2 linked regions of the Ovis aries genome follow. The protein of the gene in region 2 interacts with the protein of the main gene of each other region in a pairwise test. Links are inferred from orthologs where the notes say so. Each region holds a gene or a part of one and is shown on either strand. Other genes may lie near its edges.

Region 1 (3,651 bases), on a different chromosome or scaffold from region 2:
TAAACCTGTTTTACCCATATTAACCCCTTACTAGCTAATAATTTGCCAGCATTATTTTCATTTTCTGGTCCAAGTTTCACACTGGTCCCTAAAGCATGCCCCATTCTCATCCAACATCATCAAGCTGACATTCCCAAAGAGCAAAAAGCAGATTAACTGGACTGAAAATCAAGTTTTTGTTTTATTAAAGGCATGAATCAATCAGTTAATCAATCAACTAAAAGACTGGATTGACTGCTTTCATCTTAGACTTCACTGGTCAAGCCAATCACTGTACTGAGAAAGTCTCCCAAGGGTAAACACAGGGCCAATGAGGTCTGCATGCCCCAACCTGCGCCTAACCTCCTCTCCCAGGGACCCGTTAAGTGGGCAACCACCGGCCTCACTTACTTGCATAGGCAGATTATTCGCCATGGTGAAGCTGGGCATGGGCGGCAGAGCACTGTACGTGTTTGTGAGGGCTGTGTCTGTTCGGCCCAACATGGAGCCAGAGGTGAAGGAGGAAACTGCAGGGAGAAGAACACAACAGTCGTGGTGAGAGTCAGAGCCAAGGACAAAAAGGCTGAAACACACTGATCAGTAGAATTAATATCTCCAGTTACCAGGCGTGGTGGGTTGTGGGATGGGTTGGTAGACACTGGTGCTGAAACTACTGCTGATAGGAATATGACTAGGTGTGTTGCTGGCTTGTCTTCTCTGATTCCTCAGCTTTTCTTCTCTTCTCCATTTGGCCCTTCGATTAGAAAACCATACCTGGAAATCAGACAGAACAGGTGAGCCCTGTGCCTGCTCCCAGCTCCGCCCCATCCCTGACAGAGCCACTGTCCTCCTCCCCCAGGCCCCGAGTGACAGCTAAGCATTTAGCAAACTAAATCTGTCTCTATTTATACAAACAAAGGACATTCCTTAGAAGCCCCTGGGTCTCTAAAAAAGGCAAATGGTATGAGTCACAAGAACACATGAACACACAGTCCCCTGGTACCTGTATCCTCGCTTCAGGTAGATCTATTTTGGCCGCTAGTCTTTCTCGGGCAAACACATCTGGATAATGGGTTCTCTCAAACTCTGAAAGAGTAAGTTGCATTTTCTGTGTTGTACCAGAACTACACAAAAGCCTGGATCAAGCTGATTTCCACCTCCTGACTTCCATCACTTTCAACCAATTCCCTTTAAAATGCTACTACTATTAGCATTGACTGTACTTGGAAGAACTATCCCATCAGAACCATGTTCTATTTTTTTGTTTAATGACATTCATTCAAGGTCTCTTCTGTGGCCTGAATTAGCCAAATCATCATTCTTTCTTTATGAGAAGTCAGATTTTTCATCTTTGAATTACTGGTACATGAAAAGAAAGAAAACACATACACTAAAAGAGATGCCCTGAAAAGAAAGAAAGAAAAAGGAAACCTTTTCAGGCCTCTGTGCAAGGGCCCTGACTAAATTTAGCTCTTTGTACTGAAGATGTGGCATTTACTTTGATTTACTGCTTCTCTACTTTGAAAAACTCCATCACCTTTCTCCAGGGCCTCAATTTGCTCTTGGGTAAAGGATGTTCTATTTCTTTGCAGCTTCCGCTTCAGCTGAAGTCGCATTTGGGCCTCATCTGAATCTTCTCCATTGGAACTGATGGAGTTGGTATTCTCTCCCCCTCCTTCCTGCTGCTGGCAGCCATCTGGACCAAAAAGAACAGGACAGTAAGAGAAATTTGGAATAACTTGGAGTCTCCAAAAGGGGCCTCACACAGCCATAAACTCCAAGAGCAGTCTATTCTCACAGTCTCACCAAAACATTCCCGAGGTAACTGTCAGCCTTCAAAAGACATTAGTGACACATGTTACCTGACCACCATTTTCTGTTTTTATTATGATGAGACTCTGCAACATAGATACTTGTAGAATGGCATTTCTGTGAATGACAAAATGAGTGGTGAAGTTTCCAATTAAAATGATCTTTCATAACTAACCTCGACCCTCCACATGCTTCACCCAGCTCCCTCTCCTTGCAGAATTTATTTACCTGTGGCTGTGTTGGGAAAATAGAAGAGTAATGTTCAAGATTTCAGCTGATCTATAATCAGTAATTCCTACCTAATCAATTAGATGTTGATAGGTTTGTAGAAAATGCTATTAAGAAACCAAACCAAGCTTGTAATCTTAAAAAAAAATATTTATCTAGTTTTTATTTGAATTCTGCACAGTCAATTTCATTTTAAAGGTTGTGAATTTAGAAGTGCTCGCATTGTTCTGCAGTTTTATTCAACTATTGTATGAGTGCGCTTTGCCTTGACACCTATTACGAGCACAGCTGTAATTATATCATCACCAAGAACAGGCTATAATTGCTGAAAATGGAATTTTATATTTAGATAAAAGGACTGTCCATTCTTTGTAATGTGTTGCACCAGAGAAAAGTAAGATTTCTTTTAAATTTTTAACGTGTAATTTTAAAAAAGAAATAGTAGAGAGTTCACTAACTAGCTAAATATGCTATGCTGCAGCTGAATCCTTGGCATATCATTTAAGTGGTACATTTTTAATTAGGGCATTTCCACCACTTTTAATGTAATTTCTATCATTAAACAGGGGAAAGTTTTATTGTTTTCCTTTGCTGCTTGGAGGGCAAGATGTGCACTTGGGCAAGCTGTCTCCTTTTGCGCCTTGCTGGAGAGGAAAGGATTCAGTTCTCACTAGGCCTCCAGGGCCACTGCCTCCTGGGTCCTTGGTCTTGGGTCCTAAGGCCCCCAAGAGATACCAATCGAGGCTGCCCCCCTCCCCATCCTAGCGACTTGGCCCTGGGGGGAGGAGCCTCTGGGGCGCCTTGGTGGGAATCGACTTGGCCAGGAATATCATTTATAACCGGGAGACAATAGGCAGTGCCTTCAAAGAGTTCAGGGAATTGTGACAGGATCTAGTGGGATCTTTTCAGGAACTTTGAAATGTTTTAAAACCCCAACTTTCTCCCCCATTTAAACAGGCGGATTCATCAGCACTGGCCACCATATGGGCCCTTGGAGATCTATTGAGATGACCACCAACACTTGAATAGCGAGGGGCTGCTTTTCAGCACAGCACAATGCCCCGCGAGTAAGGGAAACTATTAAACTCCTGGGGCAGGAGCGTTGGCAAACTTTCGTGGGCAGAATTTCGAGGCCACAATGAGCGCGGACAACAAAAGGATTCTCTTGAGGCGTGCAGCGGGCCACATTGTGTTACAAGAAGCCCAGTCAACAGACTTTTCAGTGAAGTGTGTTAACCCCTCTGCTCTGCTATCATTAATCACTGTCCGAAGAGCAGGCGCCTCAATGCTATTTAGGGCGCTTGGCTGGGGGCTGGAGGGTGGATGGGGGGCCAGGGCAGAGGGTGGAGGGGGGCACAGGGAAGGTGGATGAGGACGGGATGTGGGGGGAAGCGGGGAGGAGAGGCAGAGCGGATGATGACCAGGGGGGAGGGAGACAGGAGGGGAAGGAGCAGAGGTCTGGTTGAGGGAGGAGAAGAGGGGAGGGGGTAGAGAAAGGTGGGGCTAGAAAGAGGCTCCAAAGAGGAATAGGCCAGAAAGGTGCAAGAAGGACAGAAAAAGAGTGCCGAGAGGAAAAGAGACAAGAGGGTCAGCGGACAAGGGGAGAGAGGAAGGGAGATAAGAGAGAGACAG
Region 2 (3,651 bases):
CCTTCTGCTGCCATCTCAGCTACTGGGCAGCTCACGGCCACGGCCTTGGCCCTGCCCCTACTCATTGTGCCAGAGTCTGGCCTGAAGGTGCCCATTGTCTTGTGGTGCAGCCTGTGTCAGGGCCATGAGACAAGCCATCCCCACTGTCTCCAGGCCACACCCTCTGGAGCTGTCTCTGGGCTGTGGGTAATCTGGTATGAACGCCTTGTCCCACCAGAACCGGGATGTGGAAGCCAGCATCCCGAATTGGTTGCCTCTTGTCCTTCTCATCCTTTGCCTAAGGTTATCTTGCCAGGGCTACCTCCTAGCAAGCTGCTTGGGGCAAGTCCAGATAGAACTCCTGCTGGATCTTCAGTACCGCCTCCCCTCTATAGATTGCTATGGTGACACCATGATTGGCAGTAGAGGGATCCCCCCTGAGAGCATCACTTCCTCTGCTTAGTCTAGTCTCCACAGAGCAGGCAGCTGGGGATGGAGCTAGCCTTCTCTCAGTCTCCTTTGTGTACTCTGCTTCCTCTGCTCCTTCCTTAGGGGTCACTGTGCTTCAGTGCTCTGGCTCAGACCCTCTTTTCTCATTCAGCACTTATGCATGCACGCATGCTAAGTTGCTTCAGTCATGTCTGACTCTTTGCAACCCTACAGACCATAGCCCACCAGGCTCCTGTGTCCATGGGATTCTCCAGGCAAGAATACTGGAGTGGGTCGCCATGCCCTCCTCCCATTCGACACTTAATTCTTGGGCACTTTCCAGCTATTCCCATAGCTGTTTGCTGATGATTCCAAAATCTACGTCTCTTGCTCTAACCTCTCCATGGGGCTTTAGGTTTCCATATCCAGTTCTCTCTGGACACTTCTACCTGCCTCTTTCCCTGGGTACCTCTGATTCAATATGCCTAACGTTGAACTTAACACCTTGTGGCCTGCCGTTAAATTTATTACTGTCCCCATCCATCCTTTCCTCCAGGTCTCAGTAAGTATTACCACCAGGGAGAGTTGTTCTTGACTGTTCGCCATCCTCCTGTCCCTGTTTTGTCTCTGAGTTCCCTCTGAGTTCATTCCCTCCCTACCTGCCACCAGACTCCTTAGGAGTTAGGATTTGGTGGCAGGGGGTGGGGTGGAGGGTGGAGGTGGATGCTCTCTGGAGCTGTTGCTGGCTCCTGAAGTCTTTAACAAGACTCTTAAGCGTGCGTTGCCTGTTCTGTCTCCTGTCCTCATTCAGTCTCCCCTGATACTGATGGTATGTATTAGTTTCCTACAGCTGCCATGCTAAGGTACCACACCCTGGCACACGCGACAGAGATTCATTGTCTCACAGTTGTGGAGCCTGGAGGTCTGAAATCACGGTCTCAGCTCCCTCTGAAACCTGTAGGTGCACCCTTCCTTGCTGCCTCCCAGCTTCGGGTGCTTTGCTGGCAGTCTTTGGTGCTCTGTTGGCTGGCTGCATAGTTCCAGCCGCTCCCTTTGTTGTCACATGTCACCCTCCCTGTAGGTCTCTGTCTTTACATGGATGTCTTCTTTTAAGAACATCAGTCATATTGTATTAGGGCCACCCCCTACTCTCTGATCTAATCTGCAGTGACCCTGTTTCCAAATCAGGTCACATTCTGAGCTACTAAGGTTAGGGCTTCAACACACCTTTTTTGGGGAAACATAATTCAATCAATAGCTGTCTTATTCTCTGCCCCCTGCAAATTTATTTGTCCTCTCCACATGCAAAACACGTTCACCTCATCCTAACCTCCCTAAAAGTCTTAAGCCATTCAAGCATCAACTCTAAGTCCAACTGGAGGACACAGGTTCAGCTACATGTACCTTTTTGTATATCCTTTCCAGAGTTCTCCTGGAGGTCTCTGACCTAAACGTATTCCCAAATTGGGCAATGTCAAACCTGCCACACAGGCCTAGCCCCTGATCTCTTTCTTGCTTTGGGTTTGATGTGGAAAGGGGGGCTTTGATGGACAACAGAGAGATTGTGCCTTTCTCCCAAAGCTGGCGGGAGATGGGCAGACAGTTCTGATGCATCTCCTCACCTTCTGCCTCCAGGTACGTGAACACACTCCTGAAACTCATCCCACTGGTGCTGGGACTGCAGGACCAACTGCGACAGGCAGTACAGAATGGGGACATGGAGACCTCCCACGGCATCTGCCGCATTGCTGTGGCTCTGGGCGAGAACCACTCCCGGTGAGGACAGGGGCAACTGCAGGTGGGATAGCAGGGCCCTCGAAGAAGTAAGGGAGGTGGAAGGACCTCCCCATGCCTTCTCCCTCCCAGGGCCTTGCTGGACCAAGTGGAGCACTGGCAGAGCTTCCTGGCCCTCGTCAACATGATCATGTTCTGCACGGGCATCCCTGGCCACTTCCCTGTCAACGAGACCACCAGCTCCCTGACCCTCACCTTCTGGTACACACTGCAGGTGTGTCACGTGACCTTCAGTGGACCTGGGCCGTGATGGCAGAAGGGGCATCACAGCATCTGTGGCTAACTCTCCTCCCTGGTTCTCTCAGGATGACATTCTGTCCTTTGAGGCAGAGAAACAGGCTGTGTACCAGCAGGTGTACCGGCCAGTCTACTTCCAGCTGGTGGATGTGCTTCTGCACAAGGCCCAGTTCCCTTCTGATGAAGAATATGGGTTCTGGTCCTCCGATGAGAAGGAGCAGTTCCGGATTTACAGGTGACAGTAGCAGGCCAATCCCAGCTCTAAAGGGAGTCCTGAGATAATGAAGGCAATGAGGGGAGGGGTCCAAGGCCAGGTTCCCTGAATCCTGGGCCACCCTTCTCTGTTCTCTAGGCACTTTGGCAGGGCTGTGAGGGAATCGGGGTGGGCTCCTGTGCTTGGGGGAGGCATCTAGGCAGTGTATAAGGCCTTCATCTGCTTCTTAGGGTGGACATCTCAGACACGCTCATGTATGTCTATGAGATGCTGGGGGCCGAGCTCCTCAGCAACCTCTATGACAAGCTGGGTCGTTTGCTCACCAGCTCAGAGGAGCCCTACTCCTGGCAGGTACCTCCCCAGCCTGATTCCCTCAGCCCTCCCAGGTCTGTCACATCCTCCTCCTCAGCCAAGCCGGTGGCATCCTCTTTCCCCAGCACACAGAGGCCCTGCTCTACGGCTTCCAGTCCATTGCAGAGACCATCGATGTCAACTACTCTGACGTGGTGCCTGGGCTCATTGGGCTCATCCCACGGATCAGCATCAGCAACGTGCAGCTGGCGGACACTGTCATGTTCACCATCGGTGAGCCCTGGCCCACACCCGTGAGCATACCCCCAGAGCCACCGTGCGCAGCCCCAAGCCGACCTGCTGGGTCCTGTGCAAAGTGGGAGATACAAGTGCGTGCACACACAGTCAGAAACTGCAACCAGTGGACTGTCCTGGCATGTCGAGGGGTCCTTGCTACAGTGCGCTGAGCTGCAGTTCAGTGAGGCTACTTCACTGCCACTGAAACAGTGCCGCTGGGCCTCTACCGAGTAACTCCTTCCCACTTAGCAGCAGTAAGGTCATGTTTGGGCCCGTGCGTGCATATTTGCCCATCCCATGCTCTGAACACGCAGCGCTCTCTCTGTTCAGGGGCTCCAGCTCCACCCTGCCAGATCTGCCTGCTTTGCAGGGACCTGGCACGCAGCCAGCCTGGCCTGCCTCAGATGTCT

The links. The genes of interacting proteins can lie anywhere in the genome.
Region 1: the proteins of IPO13 (region 2) and PAX6 interact in a two-hybrid assay, tested with the Homo sapiens proteins (2 studies listed by BioGRID and IntAct). The link is inferred for Ovis aries from reciprocal best matches to the Homo sapiens genes IPO13 and PAX6.

Annotation. Positions count from the first base shown.
Region 1 is NC_056068.1:61,381,273-61,384,923, forward strand, and holds part of PAX6 (paired box protein Pax-6), read right to left. Parts: intron 1,676-3,651; coding exon 1,517-1,675; intron 1,066-1,516; coding exon 983-1,065; intron 754-982; coding exon 603-753; intron 507-602; coding exon 391-506; intron 1-390. UniProt on the Homo sapiens protein: Transcription factor with important functions in the development of the eye, nose, central nervous system and pancreas. Required for the differentiation of pancreatic islet alpha cells.
Region 2 is NC_056054.1:18,594,814-18,598,464, forward strand, and holds part of IPO13 (importin-13), read left to right. Parts: intron 1-2,043; coding exon 2,044-2,184; intron 2,185-2,274; coding exon 2,275-2,416; intron 2,417-2,507; coding exon 2,508-2,674; intron 2,675-2,883; coding exon 2,884-3,004; intron 3,005-3,090; coding exon 3,091-3,238; intron 3,239-3,651. UniProt on the Homo sapiens protein: Functions in nuclear protein import as nuclear transport receptor. Serves as receptor for nuclear localization signals (NLS) in cargo substrates.